Linked DNA regions of Coturnix japonica. The protein of the gene in region 1 purifies or fractionates together with the protein of each later gene. This does not show direct contact. Links are inferred from orthologs where the notes say so. Each region holds a gene or a part of one and is shown in the gene's direction. Other genes may lie near its edges. The genes, in order: MED26, POLR2D, CDK19 and MED9.

Region 1 (7,712 bases):
GAGTGTTCAAGAAACATTTGGATGTTGTGTTGATGAATATGATTTAGCCGGGAAGTATTGGGAATGGTTGGACTAGATGATCTTCTAGGTCTTTTCCAACCTTGATAATTCTGTGATTCTGTGATTCCTCACACTCTGTTGTTCCATAAATTACTCTCTCATTTTGCTCATCTGCTTTGATCGTCCAACAAATAGTGGCTGACCTCATTTTTTGCCTATATGGGCACCTGTACTGCATGAGAGCCTCTCTGACAACATGGCATCATTTTAGGCTTGGGTATGATATAATTCAATTCAGCATCTGCAAAATCAACACAGTATAAACTTCAGGATGATTTTCATTTGGGGAGGGAAATAATGCCAGATAATAAAAACTAATAATGAGCCATGAGAATAGGCTCTAGATACTCTGCGTTGTACTTGGGATAGGCAGGCTGGCAAAATTCCTGTTTTCTTTTTGCTGCTGTAGCCCTTCAGTCTGATGCATGGCAGAGCAAAACCAATTACAGCAGTGCGGCAGCATCGTGAGCTGCAGTGCTGGTGTGGCCGCTTTGCTGTACGTCTCTCATCTGCTCTCTCTGTGTTTTGTCCACCAGGTTATTTGGATCTTGAAAGTCATCTACAAACGTGTCTGGTAACTTGGAAGAGACTCTTTGGTTGCAAACATAACTTTTCTATCAAGTAAAAGATTATAATGCTTTCCAAACACAGCCCTGGGATGGTGGTGGGTCCTTCAGTACGAGCTCCAAAGGACAACACAGCACACAGCCACCCCATTGCCAGCTGCATAATGGGTGTGTGGATCTGCAGGGCAGGGAGCCGTCCAGCCCCTGAACCAAAGGCTTGAAAGCAAAATTCATTCAACTTCACTGGGAGAGAAAAACAAACAAAAAACCCCACAACTTTAAATGGTGTTGCTCAACGTTTGGTGCCTGATGTGCAGTGGGTTGAAGGCCACAGCCGTGCAGCTCTGCGTCGTCAGTTGCTCCCATCTCCTGCTGTGTCTGCTGTCTCCATGCTGTGCGTCACATGGGAGTCAAGCTTCATTAGTGGGAAGTTGAGTAAAATATTGATGTAACTTAGGGGGAAAATAACAGTCATTTTCCCTCATTATTCCATTTCTCTTTGGGAAAGTAGATATGGGCGTCCCAAAAGAGGATTTTCACTTTTTTTCCCCAACAAATTCATTTGTAGATACAAATTTTAAGATAAGGGTGGGTTTTTTTTTTCCTAAGTAAGGGACTTTGAACAGAAAAATATCTGTAATCCTCTGCAAGTTTTGGAATCATTTTGGATTTGGTTGAATAAAGAAGTTCTATTTAAGGGTAAAAGTCCATCTGATGTTGTGTTCGTTCTGGTAAGAAATTAATTCAGTATTGGTGGGGTTTGATGGATTTTGATTAGTCTTGTAACCACATTTGGCTTTTTGTGCTGGTTTTTAATGCTAAATCAGCATTCGTGGCTGGTAACGTTTCCTAGTCACGAATGCAGAAGAGTATATGGATAAAAGAACCCTTCGGAGAGGTTTGTCCTGCACAGAGCACTTACGGCCCTTGAAATTTAACCTTAATTCGCATTTTGTGTGTGATTTTGGTGTGTGATTTTGGTGTGTGATTTTCTTGTTTTCTGTCTTAACTTCTATGTTTCCATATTAGCAATATTGGTGCTGTCTCGCCTCGTCGCGGTGCCGGGCCGGGGGTGCCGCCAGGGGGCTCAGCGCTGCCCAGCGGGTCGGTCCCGTCCGCAGCTCCGGGTTCGGGCTCTCGGTCGGCGGGTCGGGCTGCGCTCGGAACCGGGCCGGCTCCGTGTCTGCATTCAGCACACGGCCGGCTTCGAGCCGACTCGGACGGGACCGAAAGCGACGCGTCAAAAACGGCGCGGGGTGAGAGCGCCGGGAGCGGCCACGTGAAGCTGCGGGGCGGCACGGACGGATCCCGGTCCGTGTAACGTGGGGCCGGAGTCGCGTTCCCTCCGCCCCGCCCCGCTCTGCCCCTTCCGGCCCTCACACCGCTCCGGTCGCCCCCCGGCTGTCGGGCGCTCCGTCCATAAGGCCGCATTCACCCTCGGAGCTGCCTCGCGCTGCCAACGTGGGGGCTGGAGTGGGACGGGGCCGCTTCAACCGCAGCCGGCGGCGGATGGCGGCATTTCGGGCTCACGGAGCCGCGGCGCCGCGCTCCCCTCCCCCGCCCGCGCTCCTCCAGCCCCGCGGGTGACCCCGCCGCCGGGCGCACGCGCGCCGTGAGGCCGACTGCGCACGCGCGGCCGCCCCCCCTCCCGTCACGGAGCCCGCCGCGCACGCGCTCTGGGCGCCCGGCGGTGCGTGCGGAGGGACGTCAGGGGCGCGCCGTGCGTAACGGCGTCGGGCGTGTCCCATGGTGCCCTGCGCGGGGCTGGCTCCTGCCCACAGTTGAGTTCGGCCCCGAGCGGAGCAGTCGGGCCCGGCCCGGTCGCGCCGTCGCGGTTCTTCCGCGCCCCGCTCCGAGCGCCGCCGCCCCCCGCTCGGCGGGGAGCGAACATGCGACTCCGGCTCCCCGAGGAGGCCGCCGCCGCCGCCGGCGAGTGAGGAGCCGCCGCCCCGGCCCGGCCCGGCCCCGCCGCCCGCCCGCCCCGGCCGCAGCCGCCCCGCTTCGCCCAGGCAATGACAGCGGCTCCGGCCCCCTCCCCGCAGCAGATCAGGGACCGGCTGCTGCAGGCCATCGACCCGCAGAGCAACGTGAGTACGGCCCGCCGGGCCCGGGGCTCCCGACCGGCGGCGCGGGGACGCCGAGCTCCGGCCGCTCTCCGGCCCCGCCGCCGCCTCCCGCTGTGGGAACGAACGAACGCCGTGGGGCCGCGCGGCCGCCGCCGCCGCTTCTCCTCCTGCCGGGACCGCGGCGCGCCGCGCTCCTCCCCGGGCACCGGAAGCCTCCGCTGCGGGCGGTAGCGGCAGCTCCCGGCTCCGTGCTCGCCCACGGTCCCGTTCCCGGCGGCGCTTTTCCGCGCGCTCCCTCCGTGGAGCTCGGGGGTCTCTCCCCGTTTCCCCTCCGGCCGCGCTCTCCCTCCGCCCCGCGCCGTCTCCCGTCACTCCCGGCGCCGTCCGGCTGTGCCCGGCCATGCGGCGCGCGGCCCGGCGGCCTCCCCACGCCAGGCCGCGGCTCGGGTGCGGCCTGCAGGGGGCTCTGGGCCGGGCTGCGGACTCTCGCAGGGCGCCCACCTGTTCCGCGGCCCCTCCGCCGCCTCCCGCCGCAGACGCCGGGCCCGGGGCCGTCCCCGCGTTCTGGGGGCGCCCGGAGGGCTTCGAAGGTGGATCCGGGGCACTGGAGCGGCTCCGGCAGCGGGCAGCCTCGGTCTTCGCTTTTATCCTTCCCTGCAGAGCGCTAATGAGCTTATCTGCTCCTTCTGGGATGTAGAGTAAGCACGGGAGTCGACGTAGATTTTACCAGTAAGTGGTCTTCATGTGTAAGTCGTGGTAATCCAAAGTGTTATTTACTCCTTTTAAGGTTTTTTTTGGCATAGTAAAGCAGCTCTTCACATCCACGTTTACTACGGTGAGAGGACTGTGGGGTCTGCGGTCTGTCAGATTTATTCGATCTGAAATCCACATTTGCCATGGCAGTGCACAGAGCTGTGCTGCTCCCAGCTGTCTGTCGCAGGGCAGTCAGGGTGAGTCAGGCTGCAGCGTGCTGTGCTGTGCCAGGAGTGCACGAGATGGGCTCCGAGGTTCATTGGAGCTGTGCCTGCTTCTCTCTGAGCAAATCTCTCCCATAACAGACAGGTGTTGTGTTCTCCGAGTGGCTGATGAACTTACTGCTGTTTGGAAGCATCATGTAGCGCCATGCAAGTGATGTGAAAACTGAAAGATAAACCACTTTGTAATAGCCTGTTGTGATAAGCATTTGTCATGAGCTGCAGTATTACCAGCTTGAGTAACAGTAATGAATGATAAGGGTGATGGTGGGCTTTCAAGTCTCAGTTGTTGGAGTCTGTGGTCCTTTAACTTGGTAGATACGGAAACAATCTTTCCTGAGTTCTGTTTGCTCTGGGACTTGTGGCTGTGGGATTTTGGTTTTACCTTACACTCAGCATCAAGCTGGTTAAATACAGTTCTAATGGAGCAGTGGTTTCTTGTCACTTCAGACCTGCTGATGCTGGTTGCTCTGTTTCTGGGGTTACTTTCTAAAACGTTGTAGCTGTGTAGAGTTAAGAATTATGTTTTGTGATGAATGTGCTTCTTCCATGTGCGATGTCAGGTTGTGCTGTGGTGGTGGTATGGAGCAGGAGCTCTGCTGGGCAGGTCTGAGCATCAGGCAGCGCTCTGTGGGCCTGCAGCAGGTCAGTAGCCCCATAAGCTTAGAAGCAATGTATGTTAAATTATAATTCTACATACTTGATACTTATCCAGGGCAATAATTAGCGGTGGAAAAATCAGCCCATTGTTCAGAAATGCCTGTAGGCAGGGGGCTGTCTTCTATTTTAACCTCTTCTTCGAATGAGAACAGAAGTGGTGGAGTTGAGGTTCATCATACAGACTTGGACTTTTTTTTCCCAGCACATAGTAAGCAATAGATGGACAGGCAGAACTGCTGTGCTGTTTTAGTGAAAGGGAGAAAAATATGAGTTTTGAACGTTCTTAAAAGCAGATTGTGACTTAAATCTGACTTGATCTCCAATGTTGAAGTACAAGAGAGGCTGCTCTGTTGTCTCCCCACAGGAAGCAGTTGTGCAGCTCTGAGCTGCAGCACTTCTTGGTGCACAGGGAGAGTTGTGGCTCTTTTCTTCTGGCTTCTGGAGACTTTTCTTGAAAGAAGTGGTTGCATTCAAACTTAAAGCATTCATTATTGTGATTGACTTCCTTGTTTACTAAGAAAAAAGCTTTGAGGCCTGGATTTCTTTTGGACTTTTTGATGTGATTGTCGGTGCGGGTACGTGTGTGTCCCTGGAGAGGAGGGAGGGTGAAAACTGCACCAGATCTACCCAGCATGTGGCACAAGGATCAGTTTGGTGGGGCTGTGGAGGGGAGGTGGTTCTCATCACGCTTTGCTGTGGGGTGCTGTCAACTTCAGCTTTGCTGATATCTTCCCCAACACAACCCGCTTTCCCCTTGTGGATATTCAATCCAGTGGGACTGTGGAGGTCTTTGTGGTATGAGCAAATCTTGGATAAGTGTGAGGTCCTCTCAGAGAAGATCCTTCCTGTGGTGAGTTAAACAAGATGGCTCTTCCCCAGGTTGTTGGAACCCATGTGCTTTCAGAAGCTGTTCACTATTCTGATCATCTGTTTTAACCTCTGCTTGAAGCTCTGCTGACTTGGAGCGCTGCTTATATTGTACACACATTTAGCACTTGAGACCTCTTCTAGTATTTGCTGCAGAATGTTTTGATAACTTATTTTCACACACTTGGATCACTATTTATGTGATAAAGCTCTGTTTCAAAGGAGACCTGTAAGAAATAAGCTATTTAAAAAAAAAATTACATCATATTGGAAGCCACACGGGATGTCTGCTGTTACATCTCCATTTATTCAGCCTTTTCCCCTTGCAAAAACATATGGACAAACTACTTCTGCTCCATGACTTACACCCCATTTACCAGCATGGGGTCATTGGGAATGGACCCAGTCCTGTATTGGAGCAGGGAGTTGGGTGTTGTACCCCCAGCAGGGCAGTGTGATGTTCCTGCAGGGAAATCCTCCTCCTGGGAGGACTTTTTGGACAGCACAGCTGGGGAAGCGTCCGATGGGCTCTTGGAGCGGGCTTTTAGGGGAAAGGGCTCCCTGGTTCTGGTAGAAGCAGCACTTTTCTCTTTGGGCTCACTGTGCTGAGCAGAACCCCTCTGCTGGGTGAAGGCGCTCCAATGGGGCATCAGGAGTCTCATTGCCTGGTGGCAGGAATGGTGTGAGCTGTTCGCTTTTGCTCTGTGGGAAAGACTGTTAGAACTGTTCTCACAATTGCACAGGGTCCTCATCCCAAATATGTAGCAGCCTTTGTGTTTTGAATATTAGACAATAATTTAATTATTTACCATTAATAGCACTTGAAGGTGTGAGCCCAGCTCTGGTTTGAGGTCACCACCCCTCAGATGCTCACTGTATGGGTTGGGCTGCCTGCAGTCCAGGCTGCCGTGCACACTGAGCTCCATGGCTTTGCTGCTCGGCCTCTGGGAGATGTCTGCAGGCCAGAACATTAATGATGAATCCGTCTATGTGCTGTGCTATGTTACCTAGTGTTGGGTGATCTTCCAGTCTCATGGTTAGTGATGTTTCCACAGCTGTTTTCTGGGTTGGTTGGTTTACCAAAGTTCAGGCATAAAAGTGAGATCTGCTTTCACAGTATCACAGAATGACCCAGGTTGGAAGGGACCTCAAGGATCATGAAGCTCCATCCCCCCTGCCTGGCAGGGCCACCAGGCTTCCACATTTACTAGATAAGGTTGCCCAGGGCCCCATCCAGCCTGGCCTTGAACACCTCCAGGGACGGGGCTTCCTAGAGCTGATGTTAAAAGGAAGGGGAGCTTGTTCCAGGAGACAGCGCCAGACACAGCTCTAATAATATCAGTGCTGGGGCTGAAGGAAGGCAGTGCTTTGCTTTGGGAGGGTCTTGGTAATTTCTGGAGATGCAGGGAAGCATTGTGTGGGCGAAAGTAGACTAGGCATGGCTTTTGCTTCAGCTTTATCCGTTTCTGTGAGGCCCTTAATGAGCTTATCAGTTTTGAGGAAGCTGTGGTGTGCAAAGAGGATGGAACCTGCTGTACCTCTCACTGGTGTTTTTGTCTCCTTCTTGAGTGCTTCAAGCAAATCCCAACCCGCTCTGTGCCTTGGCAGCTGACAGCTTCAGGTGTGTGGGGAAACATGCAGGAGGCCATGGCATTTCTTAGCCGGGACTCCTGGCTGCTGGGGGAGATCTGGTGGCTGCAGGTGGGAGTCCTGCTGCACTCAGCCTGTTCTGCTTCTTAATGCTCTGTATTGTCAGCAGCTGAGTTTGTTTAAACCCACTGGTTTAAGGCTGGTGATGCTGCTCATTCTTTGCCCTCTCTCTCCAATCTTACTGCTCATCTCTTTCCAAAACAGCTTGTAAACTAATTAGTGGTTCTCTTTTCGCTTGCTGACTGTGTTGTGTCAGTGCCTGTGATGCTCACACTGATGCTGGGTTTAACTGCTCTGAGGTAGTGCTCACCTGGCTGGGCCCAGGCGGTTTGTTGTTGCTGGCAGCGCTGTGTTACTCCTTGAGAGGAACCTGCACTGTGCTCCTTGCAGCAGTGAGACTTAGCAGCACTGAGCTGGGCTCTGCAAAGGCAGAATCTGAGCAGAACAGAAGTAGCAGGGAGTTTGAATTGGGGGGGTAGAAGATTTGGGGCTGCCAGATTGCCTTTCAGTTGCAGTTCCTTGGTGCTGTGTAGGTGATGGCAGTAGTCATTTGCTTTAAAGCTGTAATTTGAGTGTTGGTTTCAGCAGTGGTGACATGTTAAATAATGCCCTCTCCTTACTCCTGCTACGTGCATCCCTTCTGTGAGTGCTGGTGCAGCTGTCTGCAGAATCTGGCTGTGAGCTGAAACGGGGGATCCATCTGGGTTGAAAAATGACAGAGTAGTTTTTCCTGACAGTTTTTGTTCTAGCTCAGCTACCTGATGCAATGTCTGGTGTGTCGTGAGGAGCAGTGCCACAGGTGTGGCAGCACAGGTGGGTATTAAAGCGCTTAAATAGGGACTGAGGCTAAAAAGCAGAGTGCCTCTCAC
Region 2 (7,228 bases), on another chromosome or scaffold:
AAGAAAAAAAAAGAGATGATACACACTTTACAGGTCCTCAAGTTATCTTAAATACAAACAAACATTATTTAGGGGAAAAAGAAAGGTGTATTGCTAGACTCATATTAAATCTTGTAATGATTGCTTTGGGACAGGACTGGTTGCGCACAGACTCTTTTGCCTTTTTGCTTACCTCTGGTTTAAACGTTCTGTACATTGACGGGCTACTGCTGCTGACTGCTCTATGGCAGATGTGTAGTTCAAGGTCCTGTATTTCACACTGGTGGTTCTCAAGGGCTGCAGCCCTGGTACCGGGGAGGAATGAGTGTAAGAGGAAAAAAGAAATCAATAAACTACATACCTGAAGAGGGAGAGCGGTTCTGAGTTGAACACCCAAGGAGTTTGCTCACTTCAGGGCAGCTCCAAAGCATGCACTTCAGCAATTACGTTTCCTTGGAAGACTTAAGATAATGCAAGAATTTATTTCTTGTATGTCCCTTATGCAAAGTAGGGAGTGAGTTAAGGAGTCTGTAGCTACCCCGATCTGCAGGTGACTTGTATGTCCTGATGTCAAGCACAAAACCAGCAACTGCTGCTGTTAAGTGCCCTGATTGGCTATCAGTTATGCTTTCTCATCTGCATTTTTAACTAGGGTACATACACTGATCTATGCTTTGTATCACTTTATGGCATAGATATTTTTCCTTACTTTACACTGAAGCAGACAGGCACAAAATCTTTGGCCTGTGTCTTCCATTGGAGATTCCTGTCTGCACGTTGCTTCCACGGCTGCAGGAACCCTCAGCAGCTCACAGTGGAGGTGAGCACAGGCAGAAGGAAGTGCTGAAATAATTCCAGGATTGCTCTCCAAAAAGCACTTCCTTCTGGTTTTACTTCTGCTTGAAAAGAAACACACACCAAAAAAAAAGACAATTAATGAGTCATTTTGCACTGATTAAAAACTCTTAAAAACAAATGATGAAATGCCTGGGAGAAATCTCTACAAGAAACTTCAGCTGAATAACACTTGTTTTTATTCCTAGCAGAATATAGACATTTTTTCTTTGAACAAAGTTTATATGAAGTATCTAATGATGATTGAGAAATGCTGTGTCTCAGAGACAACCATTAAAAACAGAACATGTTACTCAGTGTTATTAATGTGCACACTGAGCTGTATGTGTAAGTATTGCTCTCAAACGGAATGATACACAGCACAGCCAGTTCAGAGTGTGCTTAGATACTGTATATATATATTTAAACATCAGTGTTATGTCAAAGCCAGTTTTGCATTCAGATTGTCAGCATTTGGGTGTGTGGATACAATTTTGTATTGCTCTTATGCTCATCCACTGTATTTTTATTATTCAATTTTAAAAGGAATTGATAAATGGAAAGTGAGATTATAGGAAAACTTTGGATATTTATACTTCAAGAACACATTAAAAAAACATGTAAATCTTGTGCAACAATGGCCATTTTGACACCAGTTTTTCTAAGTGGGGGATTTTGCTCATGGATTTTGATGTAGCACATGTTAAAAATGTTGCTGACAACAAGAAGAGATTAAGGTCTCAGTGTTCTGATCTTATTACCTTCAGTCAAAACCTGCTTTCTAAATAAAAGTCAGTCTGTGGCACGCCCACTAGGTAGATAATTACTGCGACAAAGCTCCAGAGCTGCTGGAAGGAAAGACATTACAAAATTCAGCAATGCTGATAATGGAATGTATTTATTACATGTTCCTATGTTTTACTATACAGATGTTTAGCTAAAGGGGTTTTGTTTTTGTTGTTTGTGTGTGTGTGTGTGTGTGTGTGTAATAGCTGTTTTTTTGCACTCAAGTTGCTAGTGGGTCTGTTTTCAGAGGGAAGGAAGGAATTGCTGTAGAGTATCTATTTAATAAACCACTGATGTCCCAACCAACACTTTCTGCCCTGGACTATGCAACAGAAGCTCATGTCTAAAACCTGAGACTGAAACCAAGCACAGCAGTGACAGGGAGCTGTTAGCCACCACCACCGCCTCCTTGGCTGTACCTTTATGCTCTTGTAGGTATGTGGCTTTCCCCGAATCCTTTCAGTTTTCATGTACTTAAGTAGGAGAGATCACTGGGGAACAACAGATGTTAAATTTGTAACCAAGACTGCAAGCTACCTACTGCTTGAAGATCAGGATGTTCTGAGGTGAAAGGGTATGTGAGAAGCTGTTGGGATTCCAAATGATTTTAAAAGGCTTCTCTCATCAATCTGGCATGTGGATGTGGCCCTGGACAGCCTCATCTAGTATTAGATATGGAGGTTGGTGGCCCTGCCTGTGGTGGTGGGGGGGGGAGGGGTTGGAGCTTTATGATCCTTGAGGTCCATTCCAACCCAAGCCAGCCTATGATTCTATGATTTCCTTGTTTTCTTGTAAACGTAATTGAAATAGCCTCATTCACTAGATGTTCTATTTCCACACTATCTTCCTGAGTGTCTTTCTGTTTGTACCACTCAGCTAATTCGTTTTTAGTTCGCTTCTCTGCCACGCTCGTCTGGAGTTAACAAACATTAAGGAGCTCAGATCTGATCCTGCAGCTCCTGGTGGAGCTCACCCACCTGCAGGGTGCAGGAAGCACAGCAGCCGGCACAGATGTGCGTTAGGAGAGCAGGAGTGGCCTCACAGTGAATCCTCCAGCCATTTATTTCTGCATTTCTTTAAGGGCATGGGGTGACATTGTGCAGCCTAAGATGATTACTGTAAGTCTTAAGCTGGTTGGGCACTTTCATGTGTGTTCCCAAGGGAAAGTACTACTACAAACACTACTTTGCTAGCAGTGCCAGGACGAACCCACTCATTTCCAGCCTGCCTGAAGCTTTAAGCTGTCTATGGATTATTCCTGAGTAGGCCAAAGAAGGGAACCTTACTTCTATTGTGTTCTGCTATTGCCATCCATGCTCCTCCCACACACACCTCCATGTATTTACCACACTGCACCAGAAGTAATGCTGCTGTGGGTTGTTTCCTGGAGCCATCACTCGCTGCGTTCCCTCAGAGGCATCAAGATGGAGGCGCTGGGTGCTCACAGCGCCGTGCAGCGCAGCTGGAGCCACCTGAGGCGCCGCTCCCTCTGCTGGGCGCCGGGCACTCACAGCGCTGCGCTTCCGGGCGCCATGTCTTCCAGTTCCGGGTGAGCAATGGCGGCGGGCGGCAGCGACCCGCGCACTGCGGATGTGGAGGAGGACGCCTCGCAGCTCGTCTTCCCCAAAGGTGCGCGGCGACACCTCGTGCTGTTGTTTGGATCCGTGTTTTAAACACTGACGTTTGCTTGTTCCAACGTAGAATTCGAAACGGCAGAAACCCTGCTGAACTCAGAGGTCCATATGCTTCTGGAGCATCGCAAGCAGCAGAACGAGAGCGCGGAGGATGAGCAGGAGCTGTCCGAAGTCTTCATGAAAACCCTGAATTACACAGCGCGGTTCAGCCGCTTCAAGAACAGGGAGACCATCGCCAGCGTCCGCAGGTGGGTGCGAGGCTTTGGGCTGTGATACGTAACATCAGCCTTGTTCGATGGAGCTGAGATTTACTGACGTTTCCTGGGCTTCCCACAGCTGTGTCTGTCTTTTTACCTATCCACTGTTGTAATGTTTCTTCCTTCATAAACTTGGATGCAGTGTCAAAAAGCAGAGTTGTGTGCTGTCTGCTTGCCTTGATGCTGCTTTGCTTATCTGTCTTGTTGTTGGCTTTCCTCACAGCTTGCTGCTCCAGAAGAAGCTCCATAAGTTTGAACTGGCGTGTTTAGCCAATTTATGCCCTGAGACTGCTGAGGAAGCCAAAGCTTTGATTCCCAGGTGAGCATTTATATACCTAAAAGGAGTGTGGTGTACTGCCCTGTGATGTAAAGCTGCCCATGGACAGATGCCTCCTCCATAATCCAGCTCTGCTGATGGGAAAACCTTCCATCTCAGTTTTTCTTCACTTACCCATTGATCTGACAGTGAAGCAATCTAAATATCCCTAACGCACTTTAGATAACATTTACTGGATTAAGAGTGATGGAATCGTGGAGTTGGAAGGAACCATTAAAGGCCATTTGCTCCAACTCCCCTGCAGTGAACAGGGACACCCACAGCTGGGTCAGGTTGCTCAGAGCCTGGCCTTGGATGTCTCCAGAAGTGGGGATTCCAGCACATCTCTGGGCAGTGGCTTAGACTGGGGCTGTCAGCCCAGCCAGCTGCGTTTGTTGGTTGTTGTTGGAGCAAACAGCAGTGTCCCTCTGAACCGCTGGGTGGACAATGTGCAGATGGGGCAGGGAGATCTTCCAGTGTCGTCTCATCATTTGTTACCTCGTACCCTGAGATAGAGGAGGAATGAGACACTCATCTGAAGTACAGCTTTCCCCTTGTATGCTAAGATTTCATAGAATCTTCTAAGTTGTACAAACGTTTGTTGAATACCTCCACAAAAGGCAACCAGCACTTCCCTGCTCAGCCTGTTCCAACACCTCACCACCCCTTCTGTGAAGAAATTCTTTCTAATTGAAACCTCCATTGGTACAACTTGAGGTATTTTGCTCACATTCTTCATAGCAAATCTGGACTGGCTTATGAGCATGAGGCCTGCACCCGGGTTGACCTTTTGGTACAATGACTTGAAATCATTCCACACTGAGCTGTGGGAAGGTTGGAGTTCTGTCACATAAACAGGAGGCTCTGCATGGGTGTGAAATGAATTCAGAGGGGAACAGGGGAGGCTGTTCCTACGAGCTTTAATGTACCCACCTTGTTCTTACCTTGCAGCCTCGAGGGCCGGTTTGAAGATGAGGAATTACAGCAGATTCTTGACGATATTCAGACCAAACGCAGCTTCCAGTACTGAAGCTGAGCACCAAAAGCTGCCCTGATACGCTCAGTTGTTTTGTATTATTCCCCTTAGCGTAAATTAAAAAAGATGTTTCTAAGATATTAAAAGATATTTCTAATTAAGCTTCTGTGTTCTGTCATATTTATGAAGATCTCTGCAATACACTGATTGTACTGGGACAAGGTGGACGCTCTGAGGGCTGCGCGGCTTCCGATTGCGCATGCGCAGGCTGTGGAGCGGCCTCCCTGCCGCTCAGCGTCTTATCGTGGTGCGCATGCGCCGCCCCTGGCGCTGGTGGGGGCAGGAAGATGGCGGCCGGCCGCGGCGGGGGATCGTGAGGCGGCGTCGGCGGCTTCCGGGGCCGAAGAGCCGAGCCGAGCCGAGCGGCGGGGCCGCGAGGGCGCGGTGGGAGACGCCGGCTGGACGGTGAGCTCGGCTGGGTGCGGTGTGAGGCGGGAGTGGGGCTCGGAGAGCGCGGTTCGCTCCGCCATTTTTAGGCCTTGGCCCTGGAGGGAGGCCGAGCTCAGGCCGAGCTCAGGTTGGAGCGGGGCGGGATCGCGGCGCTTCGGGCCCGGCCTTGTCCGCGGGGTGAGGGATGTGGGCTGTGAGCGCCGTGTTGTGGTGGGGCAGCGCTGCGCCGTGCGCGGCTGCTGGGGCCTGAGTAGAGCGTCTGTCCCGCTCCCAGTTCGTGCTGTTCCTCCTTGGGCCTGCGGGGTGCCGGCCTGGCACTGCTCGGAGGTGGGTGCGGGGCTTTGCGGGCAGGTACAGCCACGTGCGGCAGGCGCTCACCTACCCTGGGAGCTGGGCGGGCTGTGTAAGCGCACGGTGGGTCATTTCGATGGTGGTGATTTCTCAGTTAAATTTATTACTAATAACGTCTTAAAATTAGGAAAATGTCTTTTTTTCTGCTTGCTAAACTTGGTGAAAGCGCGCATTATTTCTCCCTTGCTGACTCTTAGCTGCTTCTTTAAGATTAGATATTTGTATACTCGAAATATGGTATTTTGCGGTAGTGATACTCATGTGAGCGTCTCAGTCTTACAAAAACTGCCGTAGGTAAGTAGTTCTGTACCGTTGGGTCTGTGCCTTATTGCATCTTTAGTGTTCGTTTGTGGGTAGTGGTTGGGAATCTGTGAGCTTCAGTCCTTCAACCTTCTTGCAACAGTTTTCTCTCCCTTTGTACCTGATTTAACTCGAAGCTGTTATTCCTTTAATGAAGGCACTTCCACATGCGTATTTGCGAGAGAGTGTACAGTATGTAATCAGGGTTGTGTCAAAGTACCCACGGTTTCTTTCTCTGCAATTACCAGTCTGCAGAATTGAGTTCTGTTAAAATACATTGTTTTTAATATAGCAGTGTATAATAATAAGCTCTCTATTTACAGTCGGCTTCTTGACATCTTGTTTGGTTGTGCTGTAGTATTTCTAATGGGTAGTTATGAGATTCCGGAGAACAAACAATTTAAGCAGCCTCAGCATGGTAAGACTAATTTGGCATGTCTTTAATTGATTTTGTTATTGTTTTTGGAGTTTTCTGCCCAGCTGCTCTAGAACTCAAAAGTTAGGCTTGACTTGACCTGCCTCCATGGGACTGTTTCAGAAGCTGATGAAATTACCAGATTAAGAGTCAGTTTTCGTAAATAAATAGAGAAATATCAGGGACATGTGAAAAATCTTTGAGCTATAGAGAATTAACTGATTATCTGGTGTGTATTTACCATAGGATCACAGGTTGGCTTGGGTTGGAAGGGACCTGAAAGCCCAGCCAGTCCCAGCCTCTGCTGTGGTCAGAGATACTTTCCCTCAGCTCAGGCTGCCCAGGGCCCATCCAGCCTGGCTTTGAGCACCTCCAGGGGTGGGAACCCACACTTCTCTGCACAGCAGTGCCAGTATCTAAATGTCCTTTAATGAGTGAGTCCAGAGAAGGAGCATTAAGATGATCAGAGGGTTGGAGCACCTCTCCTATGAGGAAAGGTTGGGGGAACTGGGCTTGTTCAGCTTGGAGAAGAGGAGGCTGCAGGGAGACCTCATTGTGGCCTTCCAGTACTTGAAGGGAGTGTATAAACAGGAGGGGGAATGGCTGTTTGTGAGGGTGGACAGTGAGAGGACAAGGGGGAATGGTTTTAAACTGAGAGAGGGGAGGTTTAGGTTGAGTATTAGGAGGAAGTTTTTAACCCAGAGGGTGGTGACGCACTGTTCACAGGTTGCCCAAGGAGGCTGTGGATGCCCCATCCCTGCAGGCATTCAAGGCCAGGCTGGATGTGGCTCTGGGCAGCCTGGGCTGCTGGTTGGTGACCCTGCACACAGCAGGGGGTTGGAACGAGCTCCTTTTCAACCCGGGCCATTCTATGATTCTAATAAACTCCTTGAGCTGCTGAAATCTTCTAGCAGATGATTGTGCCTGGTA
Region 3 (7,751 bases), on another chromosome or scaffold:
TGAGAATTGTTTTAGCTGCTGAAAACTGTAACCAGTGCCAGGGAAGCAGTAGTAGATGGAATATGGAGATGCTGGAACAATGATGGTGCAAGTAGATTGAAAAACCCAAGGAATCTCAGTGACACCAACTGCGAGGCTCCCAAGTACCACATTTTTGGCTGCTATGCTAAGAATGAGAGTTTATGCTTTCTCCATAATGAGGTGCAGATTCTACATTTCTAGAGTTCAAAGCTTTCTCTAAACTCCTTCTTTATGCTGGTGGTAATGACTGGCCCTCCAAACCAGCTGTCATGCTGTTTATCAGATGAGAACACGATGTCTGTAGTTAACAGTATCCCAACTTTCAGCCTTTTCTGAGAAACTTAATAAAATACGCTGTACTACATGTTGTACTCCAAAAGAAATAAGCTGACATGTCTTGTTTCACAATTCATGGGGACTGGGTCTGCTAAGAAGACACACTTGTGATGATTCTGGTCGATCAGTGGTAAGGCTGGGTTGTAACTGTACAGTGAGCTGTGGTACATCATACCATGTGGAACTATTTTGCTTTTACTTTGCTGTTTTTGGCCTGTAAAGAGAAGGTAGGGGATAGGTTTTGTGATTTTTGTGAGAGTTTTCTTTTTCTCAGGAAAAATTCAACGATGGTTAAAAGCAGCACTGCCTATTTTGAGACCAGTTTCTTGGATTATATTCAAGAAAAGCACACAAGGTTTCTATTTTAGTAGTATTTGGATTGTGGTACTGTAAAAAAATGAATTCTAAAAACATAGAGCTGGCCAATTAATTATATAATGGTAACAGAATTCAGGGCTCCCATCTTCCATTCCTAGCATGTTCTCTAGACTTACTGTAAAATCTTGATAGTGCACCTTAGTTATGTACTTCATTTTCCAAGTTAATAAAGTTAATATGTTTATTATAGGTGTTTCGAAGTTAACTGACAGAAATTCAACCATCAGCCATCAACTCAAATGTGACAGACATAAGTAAACATTGTATAGGTTTATTAATGCCCCACTCAAGATCTACTGGAAATATGCTGTCTCTGATCCCTAAGAATCCAAAATTTCTCACTGTATTAACAAGTAGAAGCTTTCAAGGAGAGTGTGCAACGTCTTCCAGATGTGGCCTAAAAACTTAACAGAAAACACTTTTGATCTCACCAATACTCAAATAGAAAAGATTAAGAGATTGGCTAAGACAGAAAATACAACTTACCAAGACAGGAAGTGAGAACAAACTGGAAAGAAAATGAATTTTCTGTATACACAAAATACACACTGTATTTTGTGTGCAAAGGAAAGAAAAAATTGGTCTGTGCCATTTCATGATGTGAAAATATTAAAAGAGCAAATTCTTATTTTCACTAGAAATTCATGCTTTATCTCTCTAGGAGAATCTGAATAGAGAATTACTGAGAATATTCAGTGCCTCAACTTTCAGTCTTGTTTGAAATACTTTTCCTTTCCTACAGTCTGGGCACTACGTGACCATCAAAGCTCATGGAGAAATGGTGATGTTAACAAGCAGCAACAACCCCTCATCTCCACTTAGGCTGTCAGCCTGAGAAACATCACACTGGCAACTTGCAAGTCTGTCAGTTTCTATTTTCTTCGGTGGTACTTTTCTGAATATCTTTATCAGCACAGTTAACAAAGGATAAGGCATTATGTATCTAAACATTTACTGCACTGAACAGACACGAATAACACAATGATAAACAATTCAAGAATGGTAGGAAACCCATCTGAAGAAGCAGCAGTTTGCACAGGAATGCAATCTCTCAGAACAGGGTTGCTGCCAAAGGGCAGTTCAGAAATCAGAGATTCCCCAAGTAGGAAAAATTACAATAAGAATTTGAAGCAGAATCTTGCCATGTGCTCCAATTGCAAGATGAGACAAATATGCTCATCCTCATGATGATTGAACTTCTGCAGTCTTCAAATGAGAAGGTAATCTTGTTCCTACTGGACTCTGAGCTGGCCTAAACTTGGATCCTCCTTTGCAGGATTTGCAAATATAGAATCATAGAATTACGCAGGTTGGAAAAGACCCTGAAGATCATCCAGTCCAACATAACCTAACCTAAGCCTAACCAGTACCTTAACTCTAACAACCCTCTGCTAAATCATATCCCTGAGTACCACATCCAAACGGCTCTTAAACACAACCAGGGATGGCGATTCACCCACCTCCCTGGGGAGCCTATTCCAGTACCTAACTACCCTTTCTGTGAAGAAGTGCTTCCTAATATCCAACCTAAACTTGCCCTGGCACAACTTGAGGCCATTTCCCCTTGTCCCGTCACTTGTCACTAGTGAGAAGAGACCTGCCCCGCTCTCAATGTAAGAACCTTTCAGGTACTGGAAGAGGGCAATAAGGTCTCCCCTCAGCCTCCTCTTCCCCAGACTTTAACAGCCCCAGCTTCCTCAGCCTCTCCTCGTAGGGCTGATTCTCCAAGCCCTTCACAAGCCTTCACAAACTTCCAAGCCTATAGCATAGGATGACCAAAAGAAGGGGGAGTAGGGAGCTAATTATGGGAATGAGAAGAGTATGGCTGTTCGAGTCCAGCAAAATGAAAGCTGTGAGGCAATGAGATTGCAGTCTGTAAACAGTTCTGGCAGGGGATACACACAAGTGGGGAAAAAAGGCTACGTTAGGGTAGTACTCGCATGGGAAGATGGATGTAGACAAGTCTCAAGGAAACGCAGGTTTGGAGGTTAAAAAAAGGCTTTCCCGTGAGAGAGGTTTCTGTCGGGCAGCCTCCAAGCAGCAGCAGCAGCGAGGGGTGAAGTGTTTACTGTCAGAGCACGATTGGTTTGAGGAAGGATAAAACAGCCATTTGCAACGCTGAGGAGCTGGGTGTTCTGCGGGATGGGGAAGAACCGATCTGCCTCAGCTCACAGCTGGCAGCCAGGCTGAGCCCCTGTAACCGGGTGTGCTGTCACCCTCTCCAAACAGATACAGATACACAGCAAATTGCAGGAGAATCAGACCTGTCACATAGAAAACAAGAGCATCTGTGATGAGACTGGGGGAAAACAATTATTATTGCGGTCACAGTGAGCAACAGGATCTCGTAGAGCTTATTATTACAACAGTACAGCTCTCTGAGGCGGTGACATGTTTGCCTATGCAAGCCTATGTGCTCTCTTTTCAGTGCTGGATGTGATTGCTGGGTGACTAAAGCTGCGCTTTGCAAAAGGTGGATGGTTAGCTCTAATTTTAGCCAACATCTTTAATGCTGACGTTGAAATGGTCACTGCTGCATTTAGGCAGACTGAGTAGTTCATAATATCCCCATCTGTAGCTGCGGGCTGCACATCTAACAACATTGGCCGCTCTGTCCAATCATGGCGGGGGGGTGGAGCCGAGCGTTGAGTGGCAGCCGCCGAGATAAACAAGTTTCCTCATCGCCCCGCTGGTTTCCCCGCTCCCCGCGGTTCTATGCGCTGTTCCGGTGTCGGTGCCGCTCCACGTGGCGGCCCGTCCGCCCGGCTCCGTTCAGAGCCGCCAAGTTCCCGCTGGCCGCCCAACGCCGCCGGGCTCCGGGGAGCGCGGTGCGCAGACGCCGCCTGGCCGCGGCTCGCGGTGCGTGCCGGGAGTCGTAGTTCTGCCGCGGCCTCGTCCCGCCCACGCCGCCGGGGCCGGCTCCCGCCGCCGCACTACCAATCCCGGCGTCCCCCGCGCCTCGCCGCCAGGAGCCCAGTTGAAGCGGGTGGCGGCGGAGCGGGCCCCCTCCCCCCGCCTAAAGCCCCGAACCAAAACAAAAACAAACCGCCCCCCCGCCCCAAATCCCTCCCGCCCCCCGCGAGCCCCGGAAATGGCGGCGCCGGGAGGGGGCTCCGCCGGCCGGGGGTGCTGAGCCGGCAACGCGTCCCCGTCCCGTCCCTCCCCGCCCATGGGCGAGACATGGACTACGAGTTCAAGTCGAAGCTGGCGGCCGAGCGCGAGCGGGTGGAGGATCTGTTCGAGTACGAGGGCTGCAAAGTGGGCAGAGGCACCTACGGGCACGTCTACAAGGCCCGCCGCAAGGACGGGTAAGGGCCGCGACACCAACACCGGGGCCGCTAACCCGGCAGCTCCGCGGCGCCCACCGCGCCGTCCCAGCGCACACCGAGGGACGGAAAGTTTGCGGCCCGGCCGGGCAGGTGCGCGGGATGCGCCGCGGGGGCGTCGGGCCCGCGCTGCCCACGCGTGTCCGTGGCCGCATGGCGGGGTCGCGCCGCCCGGCCGGGAGCGGCTTCGGAACGCAGCGGCCGCTCTAGCCCCGGCTGCGGGATGGGGTCCGGCTGCTCCCCGGGGCTCAGCGGGCGGCGTTGCCTTTGCGGGTTGTATCCGCCACCTGCCCCCGTAACCCACGGCTGAGCACCGCGTCTCTTTGCCGGCTTGGTCTGGGTGGGTCGCTGAGCCCGCTCGTGTCTCCAAATCTTCCTTCTCGCCACAGAGACAGCTGAAAGGTGTCCAATGTTTGGCTTGACGCGCTGTGTGTTGGAGAGCTCACGCTGCCATTTGGGGTTGCCAAAATCGTGCCTTGCACGCAGCCGCCACAGGCCTCTGAAAGGCAGCGGTGTAGGGGTGAGCTCTGACCCCGACCCCATCCTTCTGGAAGGGCTGTTTTTCCATTTATTGTGCCCTGCTAATGGTGCACACACGTGGGCCATACGTATAGAAGTGTTCTAAGCGCGCTCAAAAGACTCATAAACCTGAAGTGGCATCCTTCGGAGTTGAATACTGAAGAGCCTTCCATCCCAGGCAGCTGGAACTTTGAAAAGACCGAGTATGATAAAATGGCTTTTTGGTTGCGTTGTGCAGCTCTGGAAGTGATTGATGGAATGCTGCTTTCCATTCAGAAAGTAACCTAGGCACTTTTCTTTTAATGTAGGAGTAAATTGCATTCATGTGTTGCTCAACAATTTAAACTGCGAGTTAAGTGGCTGTAATATCAAAGGGATCAGTAAGAGTCAGCGGTTTGGCTCAGGTGAGGGACTGAGCACTGAGAGGTGGGCTCTTCTCTGCCTAACTGGCTCCGCAACCTGAAAAATAGAGCATAACTAACTCTAAAAGGAAACTTTGCAGCCTTCCTGGGTATCGCTGCACGTAGGAACAACATAAAAGAGGTAGAAGCTTGAGTTTACTGTTTTTATGACCAAAAAAAGGCTTTTGATGTCTGTCTACCTTATCTGCCTCATTTCCTTCAGTGGTAATGGAAAGTTGTGATAAGATTGACATTAATGCTACAAAACACCATAAAGGACGTGTCTTCAAAATCCTTAAGTAATAGTATTAGGAATGCAAATAGGCAGCAAATCAGAAGTAAATATGGCAAAAAAATAGGTTATCTCCAGCTTTGATACACTGGCTAAAGGAAACCTGGAGCCGTGAGCAGGCCTGCTGGTGAGAGGAAGTGAGAAGTTTCAGTAAGCGGTCAATTAGATTGAAGTGCAGTTTAATAGGGTACAAATGCAACTTCACTGTAAGAAGTCAAGTTTTGCTTTGTGAAGCATGGAAACTGGGTTATGGCATCAGAAACTTCACTCTTAATCAGTTTGTGTAGCTCTAGGACCTTTGGTGAAAGTAAGATGCGAACGAGTTAAAAGATTCATTAAGATGAGGTGATTTCTTTATGGGAAGAGAAAAAGCAGATAGCTAAAATATCTTTATGCAGTGGAGCATATTTACCATTAATCTTTAAGTTTGTGGGTTCCTTAATGACAGAAAAAAACAGAAAAAAAACCCAGAAACTCAGCAGTGATGCATTTTTATAGTGTGCCGATCACTGGGGGATTTTGAGGCACATGTAAAGGAATTCTTCTTTGGCTGATCACGGTCTGCCTCAGTATTTCACATTTGCAGAGCATGATGGTGGCTGCTCAGTGTCTCATAGTCAGTTTGCAGCCTCGGGAGGCTGGGGGCACTGAGAGCCTCCCAGCTCTGAAGCAATTCCACGGAGAGCCTGTCACTTCATGTTTCAAAAACTTGGCACGCAAACTTTATGAAATAGTAAAATGTGTTTATACGAAGCCTGGCAAGCTGGTGGATCAAATGCTTGTAAAAGTGGTTGCTTGGATCTCGGTGAATGGCTTGGGTATAAAAGAAGTTTTTAGACGGAGTAACAACTGAGTTTGGCCTTTTCAGCCTAGAGTGGAATATCACTTGGGCACGTTTCTGGTGAGCTGATTGATTTCTGTGAAACTGAGGTATTAAAGTGTTTTTTAACAGGTAGTCAGGTCTGAACAATGTTGGTTTGACATTTGCAGGTCATACAAGCTTATTGAATACTTGACTATCCTTCCCAGTAGTGTGGCCTGATGAGATCTAGAAGTGTTACCTTTATTATACGCTTAGATAAGTAAGGCACCCGGTTTATAGAATTTCAGTATCTTTGTAGCCCAGAAGGGCTAGAAAATAGATCTGTGTAAGCTGTCTAATGGCTTATTTCAGTGTGCACTAAAGCTGGACCGGTGCCTTGGAGGGGTGGAGGTAAGAATATAGAGATAAACCTTGTGATTGCAGTTCAGCTGTCAGCGTTAAGTACTTAGCTCTTCATGTAGCTGGAAAACCTGTTATTTTTGTGTGCATATCTCCTCAAGAATAGCATGCTGACTTGGCTAATGCTTCTCTGGGCACCAGATCACATTTGTCCAGTAAAACAAAGAGTACACTTACCCCAGTTTGTGCCTGGGGAAGCGTGATCTGTTTTGTGTCGTACCTTTTCTCATTACATAGAGTCACAGAATGACCCGGGTTGGAAGGGACCTCAAGGATCATGTAGTTCCAACCCCCCTGCCTGGCAGGGCCACCAAACATACACATTTACTAGATCAGGTTGCCCAGGGCCCCGTCCAACCTGGCCTTGAACACCTCCAAGGACGGGGCATCCACAACCTCACTGGGCAGCCTGTTCCAGGGCCTAACCACTCTTGTAACATTCCTTACTCTTTCTTTGCTCGCAGTTTCAGCCACGATGGTGTTTTTAGTTAGACTTCCTGTACCTCCTTATTGCAGGGGAGACAATTTATAGGAAAAAGTGTGGGTTGGAATTTCTGTTGTTTTCTGTTGGTGGTGGTGTTGAGGATGTCTGCATTATTTCCCTCTACTCTTTGAGAAGATCAGTCTGTCAGTTCATGCCACTGCAGGGTATTTCTGTTCCGTCATTCGCACTCACCTGTAGGAGTGTGTCTGGACATGTCAGCAAGCTGGGAAAGTACTGCTGTTAGTTAGTCAGGAACGCACCAGGAGTGATGGGATTCAGGAGACAACTGGAAACAGGCTGTTCTTGGTTCAGCAGTAGCCCAACAGTTAACAAAACAAAAACCTAAATATGTAGTATTTTTAATCCTCATGTTTCAAAACACCTTTTAAAAATTGGGTGTGTGCAGGGAAAGACAGGAATATTCAGCGTCCAATATGGTGTGTGCAGAAGGGCTGGGAGCTGCCCACCCATCTGCTCCTGTTCTTGAGCACCGAGGGCTTGGAGCTAAAGGGGAGTCTGTGCTGCTCCATGTGGTGTCAGTGTGCAGAAGTGTGGGTGTCAAGTTCTTAATGCTGGTACAAAGTGCTCACATCACCCAGGGGTTGAGTGAAAGTTAGGGAAAGGCCATGGGAATGGAAAGAGAAAGGAAGGGGAAGTCTGCAGTCAGAGTAAGTGTGAATCTAACCCAAGAACGCTGGCTTTGTTTCCTGTCAAGTAGCCTTTAGTTTTACATTATTATTATTTTTTTAATATTATGAATCATATCTGTTCA
Region 4 (7,549 bases), on another chromosome or scaffold:
CACACTTCTGTGCCACCTCTCGTCCCTGCAGGCTGGGCTCCCTGGGAGAGGTGGCCACTCTCCTCAAGGACAGCAACTCTGATGTGTCACCCGATGGCTCTATACCCTGTGATGGGGCACACGGGTTCCCCTGCAGCTGGTCACCCTGATAAAGTGAGGTGAGCTCTGGGAAGCACCAGAGTTCTTTGGATGTGTCTGGGTGATGCTCAGCTTATGGATCCTCCCATTTCTATCCACACACCACAGAGAACTGGGGACACCAGAGCCCTGAAACAGATCCTCAATGACACCAGAATTCAAGACAGGTCAGATCCGAAGGCCAAACTTCCATCTGGTCACATATAGGGGGATGCTGGTTAGGAATCTCAGCAGTTGCAGGCTCACCTCTGAGGACAAAAGGACAGAGTCCCTGTGCTGCTGACCACAGCCCCAGGCTGGTTGCCCAGAGGAGCTGTTACTTCTTGTTCCTATCGCCCCATGCCAGGTGGCCACAACCCCAACACCATCTCTCTCATTCAGCAGTACAGACTTATCCCACTGCAGCAGCTCAGCAAGCCTAAGATAGAAAATTCAAGCTGACAATGAGCTATCGGGGCAGGACAAAGAGATAAAGTTCAACCTGATGATAGCCACACAATAAAAAATGATAACAGAGCTGGTGGCAATGGCACAGGCAGCTCCAGATAGCCTGGCAGAGAGAAGCAGAGCCTGGTGACATGCCAGATCATCCATACAGAAATGTCAGGTCATTGTAAGGGAACATTGGTGAGATGCAGAGCTGTGTGGTGCTCAATTAGATAACTGCTGGTAGCCCCCCTCCTGAAATTATCTTTGGAAGCAGACGTGAGAAGTAATTTGTATAGAAAGACAGGGGGAAAAAGGAGGTGATGACTGGTACTGTAAGGAAACAGGCAATAAGGGGTATTGGATACACTTTATTTGATCAGTCGTTTTTTAGGATAACGGATTAACCAAATGGTAGGGCAAGCAATAAAGTGTATGGGATGGCTTTAAGACATGGAAGGTCTGGAGACCTCCACGAGAGAGCAGCAAGAGAGCCAGACACAGCCCTCCCATCTGAGATGGAGACCTGCAGAGTGCAGAGATCATATTGAGTATGTTGTCTTCCCATTAGGAACTTCATCACAAGATGTAAGCCAGGTCACCATCTCACAGGGATAAAGGCCTCACAGCTTGGAGCACTGTAAGGGCAGCTGAAGATTAGGGCAGTGCTCCTTGGCCCAAAAAACCTCTTCTTCCTTCCCAGGCCTGTCAGCTGGGTCTTTACCCTCCCTGAAGTCTTCACCGAGGCTATGGACACACCAGTCATGGTACAGACAACAGGCAGACATTCAAACAGTAACTGTGCACTCTGGTCCCATCAATTCACTGGTGTCTTCAGTGATGGAGGAGCCAGTGGCACCATTTCCTCACTGCAAAACATGAACATGCCTAACCAGCCCTGAAGGATGGAGATGGGTCACCTGAAGGAGCTGTTCTCATGAGGAAGGGAAGGTGTGAGGCAGACAGGGCTGAACACCACTGAGACAAAGCTGTAGATTCCAATTGCTGTGGGAACACGTGAACCAAAATGGGAACGGAATGGTACAAAGAAATTCTGATTGACAGTGCTGTAGTTCTGCCTGAATGGTATCTGCATGTTGTCACCTACTCTAATGACTGCCTGACTCACCCATGAGAGGCAGGCATCCAGCAGCCTAGCAATTAGCCACACTCCTTGATAAAGTCTAGGGGAGAGTTAAAACCAGCACAGCACAGAATAAAATGACCCCTGAGGAGCCTGAATCAAGTCTTGCTTTAGAAACAGCCCATAAAACGACGTGCAGAAATGAACCTCTCTGCTCAGCCCCACACAAAGGCATTAGCATCCTGTACCTCCTGCTTGGTTCAGTCAAGGGCCATGAATCCCACCAGCCTTCCCGCAGGGATCTGCTCAGCAGGTCCTGGGCACCCCTGGGCTCTCCTGCACATTCCAGAACTGGTGACCAAGCCGGGATCTATTCTTGACAGTAGAACAATGTGAACAATTGCATCTGCTATATTTAGAGCGAGCAGTCAATAATACATACGCACAAACGGTTACCAGCGTTCTCATTTGATACATAAATAGTTCGCTTTTCAAAAGAAATTGTTTTTTAAAATGAAAATTACCTTTCCCGTCATCCCTGGGCTATAACTAACTGATGAACCCGGGAGCTGAATTCAAATAAAAAACAAAATTATCTGTGCTCTCTAAGCCAATCCAGGAAGGATAACTCACGACTGTGGCTGCTGTTATCAGTGCTACAATAGTGTGTATTGACAGAGCGGTTTAAACGCGGCAGCAGCAGTTTGCTGAAGCACACTCCTGATGGTGCACAGGGGCAGCACTGCTCACCCTCACCTTCCATGCAGCGTGTTCTCCATCACCCCCTTGCACTCACAGCCCAGGCACCCAAGAACCCCACCTCTCCCCTCCTTGCAGCTTCATGGATGTCTCAGCCCTGCTGCTGGATTTTTGCCTCCATTCCTTCAGGTTTCTCCAGTTCCAAGCCCTGAAAGCCCTTCTCTTCTCCAGGCTGAACTCCCTCAGCCTGCCTTTATATGGGAGAGGTGCTCCAGCCCTCACAGCATCTCCATGGCCCTCCTCTCCAACGAGGACAGCCAGGAACAGTTGGGCTGCACACAGGTCAGGGATGCTGTAGGTCACACTGTGGGGTGCTCAGTGTGGGTGTGCAGGGCACTGCCTTGGGAGCACAGGCCCGGCTCAGCTGGGGAACACCTCAGCAGCAGTGCAGTCCCATATCTGAGACCCAGTCCCAAAGCTTGACCCCGGGCTCAGCCCCCACACCCACCCTCACAGCCCAGGACCCAGGGAGGCCTCCGAGCCCCGCTCCGGCCCAGGCCTCAGCCCCAGGCCACGGCCCGCAGCATCCCCACACCCCAACCTCCTGCCCAGGCCCAAACTGAGCCCCACACACAAGCAGCATCTGATGCTCAGCCCAGGCCGCCGCCGGGGCGGTACAGAGCGGCCGAGCTCCGCCCCGCTCCGTCACTGCTCGGCGCCGGGGGCCGCCATGGCCTCGGTGGTGTCCGCAGGCCGAGGGGCCGCCGAGGAGCCGCCGCCGGCCGAGCCGCCCACCGAGCAGAAACCGCCGCCCGCCCCGCCGGCAGCAGCGCAGGAGGAGTTCTCCTTCCTGCCGCTCGTCCACGACATCATCAAATGGTAACGGCGGCCGCACAGCGCCGGGCCGGCCTCACCACGGCATCACCCCGCAGGGATGCTCCCTCTGCCCTTTCTCTCCCCGCTGGGGTCTATGGGGGGGTTGGCAGCTGCTCTGCTCTGAGCCGGGCCCGTAGTTGGGGTCACCGAGGTGGGGCAGGGCCGGGTGTGCAGCAGCAGGAGCCGTGCCGAGCTGTTATTGCCCCGTATTGCTGCTCTGATGGGCTGATAAGTAAAGGACGGGCAGTCCCAGGGCAGCACTGTCTGTTTCTGGGCGTTGGGAGAAAGAGGAAGGCTTGTGCAGGCTGAGTCATCCTCTTTCCTGTTCAAAATCAATGCTGTGGGGTTAAAGGTGTTCGTACGAGGGTCCTGACAACCAGCGTTTGTGGCCCAGGGTAACCCTGTCAGAAATGTTTGAGTTCCCGGTAGGGGCATCGCCCTGCTGTGACCTGGGCACGTTGCACAGTGATGCAGAGGGCACAGGAAGCGTGAATTCCCACTCCTTGTTGTGGGTCTGACTGCCCTTTCCCTGCACGCTTCTATGGGAGCTGAGGCTGCTTTGTTTCCTGCTGGGGTTCTGTGTGTCTGAGTACCCAGAAGAGGTTCACCCTTATTAACCATGCAGCTGGAGGAGCATGGCAAGGAAAGGCCGAATACCCCACAGACACGGCAGCCTAGAATCTAGCTCTCCTAGATTCAGGAGAGCTATGAGAACTCAAACCCACCCTCCATTTCCCCCCTGCGCTGCCACTGTCCCTGTGCTCAACCCTGCCTGATCCATCCAGAGGTGATGCTGAACCTGCTGCCATCTGTATATGTGTGCAGAGCCAGAGTGAGCCAGATCCACGGGCTGAGACCTCCCAGCCTCCTGTGTGTCACCAAGCAAGTCGTGGCGACCCACAATGACAGTGCTGGGATATCCTGTGCCCTGTCCCTCTGAGCCACCCACTCCCACTGCCCCGCTCCCCCCCAGGTTGGCACACAGCATTTCCTGCACGGGGTGAGCAGACGTAGGTGCTCAGAGCAGCACTGCAGAGGGGTCAGACGGCAGAGCCGAGCAGTGGGATGAGTTGCCTCATGTCCCTGACAGATGGCAAACGTATTATCCTTTAACGCCGCCGCCAGGCTCACAGCCCGGCCCTGCTGTTCTGACACTGACTCAGCCCTGAAGACATTTCACATCTCCAAGGTGACTGTGCTGGGGTGCAGTGATGTATCGCGTACATTTGCTTACATTCAAGGACACGTGTTCCTTCCTGTTGTTTGAGTCCCAAGAAAGTTCTCCCAGGCAGGGCTTGCTGTTACTTTCACCCTTGTATAATCAGATGAGGTTACCTGTGAGGTCCCTGTGCGTGGTGGGTTGTGCTGGTGTATCCAGGAGCTGCAGGTGGGACATGATGGAGTTATGATTTGTTCACAGCAGTGAAGGAGAGCTGGTGGGCAGCTGGGGAGGGTCTGAAGATCTCAGTCCTTGAAGGGAGATCCCAAGCACTGTGAGGCTGTGGCTGGACATTGCATTTAATCCTGTGTAACTGCAGGTAGCTGAACCTCTTCCCACTCTTGCTCTCCCCCCTGCCTTTCCATGCCTGCAGAGGAGCTGCTTCAATTACTTGAAAACTCCCATCAGAAACAAAACAACAACAAGCCTGAAAATAGTTATTCCTTCAAACCAACCAACCAACCAGGCAACCATCCATTCTTTGGATGTGGAGAAGAGAACGAGCTGTGGAAGGACCTGGTCGGCCCTTTGAATCCAGCATGCAGCTCGTGTGGATTAAAGGCAATGCCAACCCATCCTTCCCAGATGTGCAATGTGTGTGTGCCTGTATTTTTCCACTGTCAACTTGACCGTAAACGCCTGCATAATGGGGGTACATTATAGTACCAGCTGCGGTTTTATTTAGAAGGGAGTCATGAATATTTTGTTCCAACAGGCTGTTGAAATGAACGGGACCATCTGGTTAAAAGTTTTGCTCTCAGTCGTGTCACGATTCCCCAAAGTTCTAATCAGGCACCTCTCTGCCCTGGTCATGCCAAGCAGTTTTATTTTGGGCCTGGCTATTGAACAGGCTCCCAGCTTACAGGGGCCGTTAGCAGCCTGCTCTCGTTATTAGCGCTGCCTTGGAAGCAGTCTCGCCTTTGCCTGGAATGGTAAAACTCCTTGCTGTAGCTAACAAAGCTGAAGCAGATACTAATGAGGGTTTGAGGGCAGACGCTGCCTCAGACGACGCTGATCCTCGAGAAGCACGGAGCTGCAGAAGCAATTGTGCTGCTCTTAAAAAATAAGCTGTCGCTTCTCTTTATTAGGTAGACATCCCCGGAGAGTCGTTCTGAAGCTCCGAAATGCCGTTTTCTCTGCCATTGGACACACTCTGGTACTTTGGGGAACGATTCCTATTTTCTGCTGTCAAGCTGTTTGACTGCATCGATTTCTTGTATTGCTTTGACAACAGGTCACAGACGGGGCTGAGGTCTTTTTTCCCAGGTGCCCACACACAACCTGTGTGTGTGTAATCTTACCTTCCCCATATGGGAATTGAAACAGAGTGAGAGGCTGTGGTAGTGTTTGAAAGCTGCAGACCAGGTCTTAACCTGTAGGACTGCAATTAAGGTTACTGGATGGTGTGCTGAAAATGACCAGGAAACCAGTTTGTCCCAGCAGCTGCCTAATCTGTGTATGTGTCTCTGGTGGTTTTGTTGTGATAGGTGTGAATTAGATCCCAGGAGCAAAAGTTTCCCAGTGAATTCCAGCGTAAGCCCTGACCATGCTGGGAATGACAGTCCACCAGCAGGCAGAAGGTCTGTCCAGCAGGAGATGTGAGTCATGCCTCTTGTTTTCTCCCTTCTGCAGCATGGACAAGGATAGCCAGGATGTTCACCAGGTGCTGAACGAGCTCAAGAACAAGTTCCAGGAGATGAGGAAGCTGATCAGCGCCATGCCTGGCATCGGTGTGAGCCCAGAGCAGCAGCAGCAGCAGCTGCAGAGCCTGCGGGAGCAGGTCCGGACCAAGAACGAACTGCTGCAGAAGTACAAGAGCCTCTGCATGTTCGAAATCCCTAAGGAATAGGAAGGGAGCAGCTCTGCAGTCTGAGGCTGGGATGCCTCTTCTCCTGGCTGGAAAGGAGAGGTTTACTTTGTGGGGCTTTTTTTTGTCACGTTCCTGTGACGTTGTGGCTGTGTGGGTCACAGGCATGTGACACTGAACCAGAACCGTTCGTGTGTCCTTCACATGCGATGGTTACAGCAGTGCCTTTGCTTTGATCTGCTGTAGGACTGCGTGCATTTATACATGCAGCTCTTGGGGTTGGCTGTATTTTTTTCATTCAAGCAAGCAGAACACAGTAGGTTTTCTCAAAAGAGAAGGTGGCAGTGCCTGCTGGTTCAGTTCAACAGGGAAAAAAAGGAGGCATTTTCTATATTTTTTCTTTCTCAATCCTGAAATGACAAACATTGAAAGGGAGCAAAGGGAAGCAGAGCTGTTCGGCCTGGAAAGCCTGTTTGTTGGGAAGGGTCTCTGGGGTGCTTTGCAGCCAGTGTGTTGGAAGAGGAACGGTTGCTTTCTGTTGCTTTTGTGTTTTTCTCTCTGTTTTTAAACTGGTCGTTGTGCTTGAGATGAGTCAAGTAAAGGTTAGAAACTCCAAACTGCCCCTCTTGTGTATTCACTGAGTGCACGTGGGCTGAGCGGGGCTGGGATGTGGCAGCCTGGGCTCTGCTCCTCTCTCTTAGCATTGCTTTTTGTTACCGGAGAGCAAAGCAGAGCCTGCCAGGGGAGTGGATTTCAGTGGGCTTTGGTTACGTTGGGCTCCCACACCAACTCGGTGAGCAACACACCGGGCATCCCACTCTTACAACAGAAAAAGTAGGATTAAAACAAAAGGCATAACTGACAGCAGCTTTAGTTATTCCCTAAGCGACACGAGTCAGGCTCAGCAGGACGGATCAGTTCTGTGTCTGAAATGCTCCAGGGGCTTCCCACAAACACCAGCACTGAACGTTCGTCAGACGCTGATGGAAAGCTCTCGAATGTTGTGTTGCATTCAGATGGGGCTCAGAACTCCTTGTCCTCTGTCCTCCTGCTGGGAGCTGCTGGGTGTCGGATGACAACCTGGTGAGCATCTCACCCACTAACAGGTACGTGACAAGCCCTGGGATCTCACCGTGCTGAGTTAACGCTGAAAGGTGGAGCAGCTCAGGAGTGGGAGAGGTGCAAAACGGAGTGGAGAAATACAGCGTCGGATGGGAGCCTGCGTCTGAGAGCAGGTAGCATTCAGATGATGGGAACGGGGTCTGTCTGGGTAGGATTTGGCTTCCCAAAGCCAAGAGGC

The links.
Region 2: the proteins of MED26 (region 1) and POLR2D purify together in Homo sapiens (affinity purification with mass spectrometry; 3 studies listed by BioGRID and IntAct, with this or other methods). This does not show direct contact. The link is inferred for Coturnix japonica from reciprocal best matches to the Homo sapiens genes MED26 and POLR2D.
Region 3: the proteins of MED26 (region 1) and CDK19 purify together in Homo sapiens (affinity purification with mass spectrometry; 4 studies listed by BioGRID and IntAct, with this or other methods). This does not show direct contact. The link is inferred for Coturnix japonica from reciprocal best matches to the Homo sapiens genes MED26 and CDK19.
Region 4: the proteins of MED26 (region 1) and MED9 purify together in Homo sapiens (affinity purification with mass spectrometry; 6 studies listed by BioGRID and IntAct, with this or other methods). This does not show direct contact. The link is inferred for Coturnix japonica from reciprocal best matches to the Homo sapiens genes MED26 and MED9.

What each region holds. Positions count from the first base shown.
Region 1 is NC_029543.1:3,342,949-3,350,660, forward strand, and holds the start of MED26 (mediator of RNA polymerase II transcription subunit 26), read left to right. Parts: upstream 1-3,459; 5' UTR 3,460-4,188; coding exon 4,189-4,311; intron 4,312-6,389; exon of another isoform or gene 6,390-7,712. Other genes in the region: SMIM7 (small integral membrane protein 7), read left to right, coding at 597-612. UniProt on the Homo sapiens protein: Component of the Mediator complex, a coactivator involved in the regulated transcription of nearly all RNA polymerase II-dependent genes.
Region 2 is NC_029524.1:1,662,738-1,669,965, forward strand, and holds POLR2D (DNA-directed RNA polymerase II subunit RPB4), read left to right. Parts: upstream 1-3,100; 5' UTR 3,101-3,155; coding exon 3,156-3,228; intron 3,229-3,300; coding exon 3,301-3,481; intron 3,482-3,713; coding exon 3,714-3,809; intron 3,810-4,757; coding exon 4,758-4,836; 3' UTR 4,837-4,943; downstream 4,944-7,228. UniProt on the Homo sapiens protein: Core component of RNA polymerase II (Pol II), a DNA-dependent RNA polymerase which synthesizes mRNA precursors and many functional non-coding RNAs using the four ribonucleoside triphosphates as substrates.
Region 3 is NC_029518.1:60,394,434-60,402,184, forward strand, and holds the start of CDK19 (cyclin-dependent kinase 19), read left to right. Parts: upstream 1-3,706; 5' UTR 3,707-3,915; coding exon 3,916-4,043; intron 4,044-7,751.
Region 4 is NC_029529.1:4,802,309-4,809,857, forward strand, and holds MED9 (mediator of RNA polymerase II transcription subunit 9), read left to right. Parts: upstream 1-3,042; 5' UTR 3,043-3,077; coding exon 3,078-3,226; intron 3,227-6,074; coding exon 6,075-6,291; 3' UTR 6,292-6,870; downstream 6,871-7,549.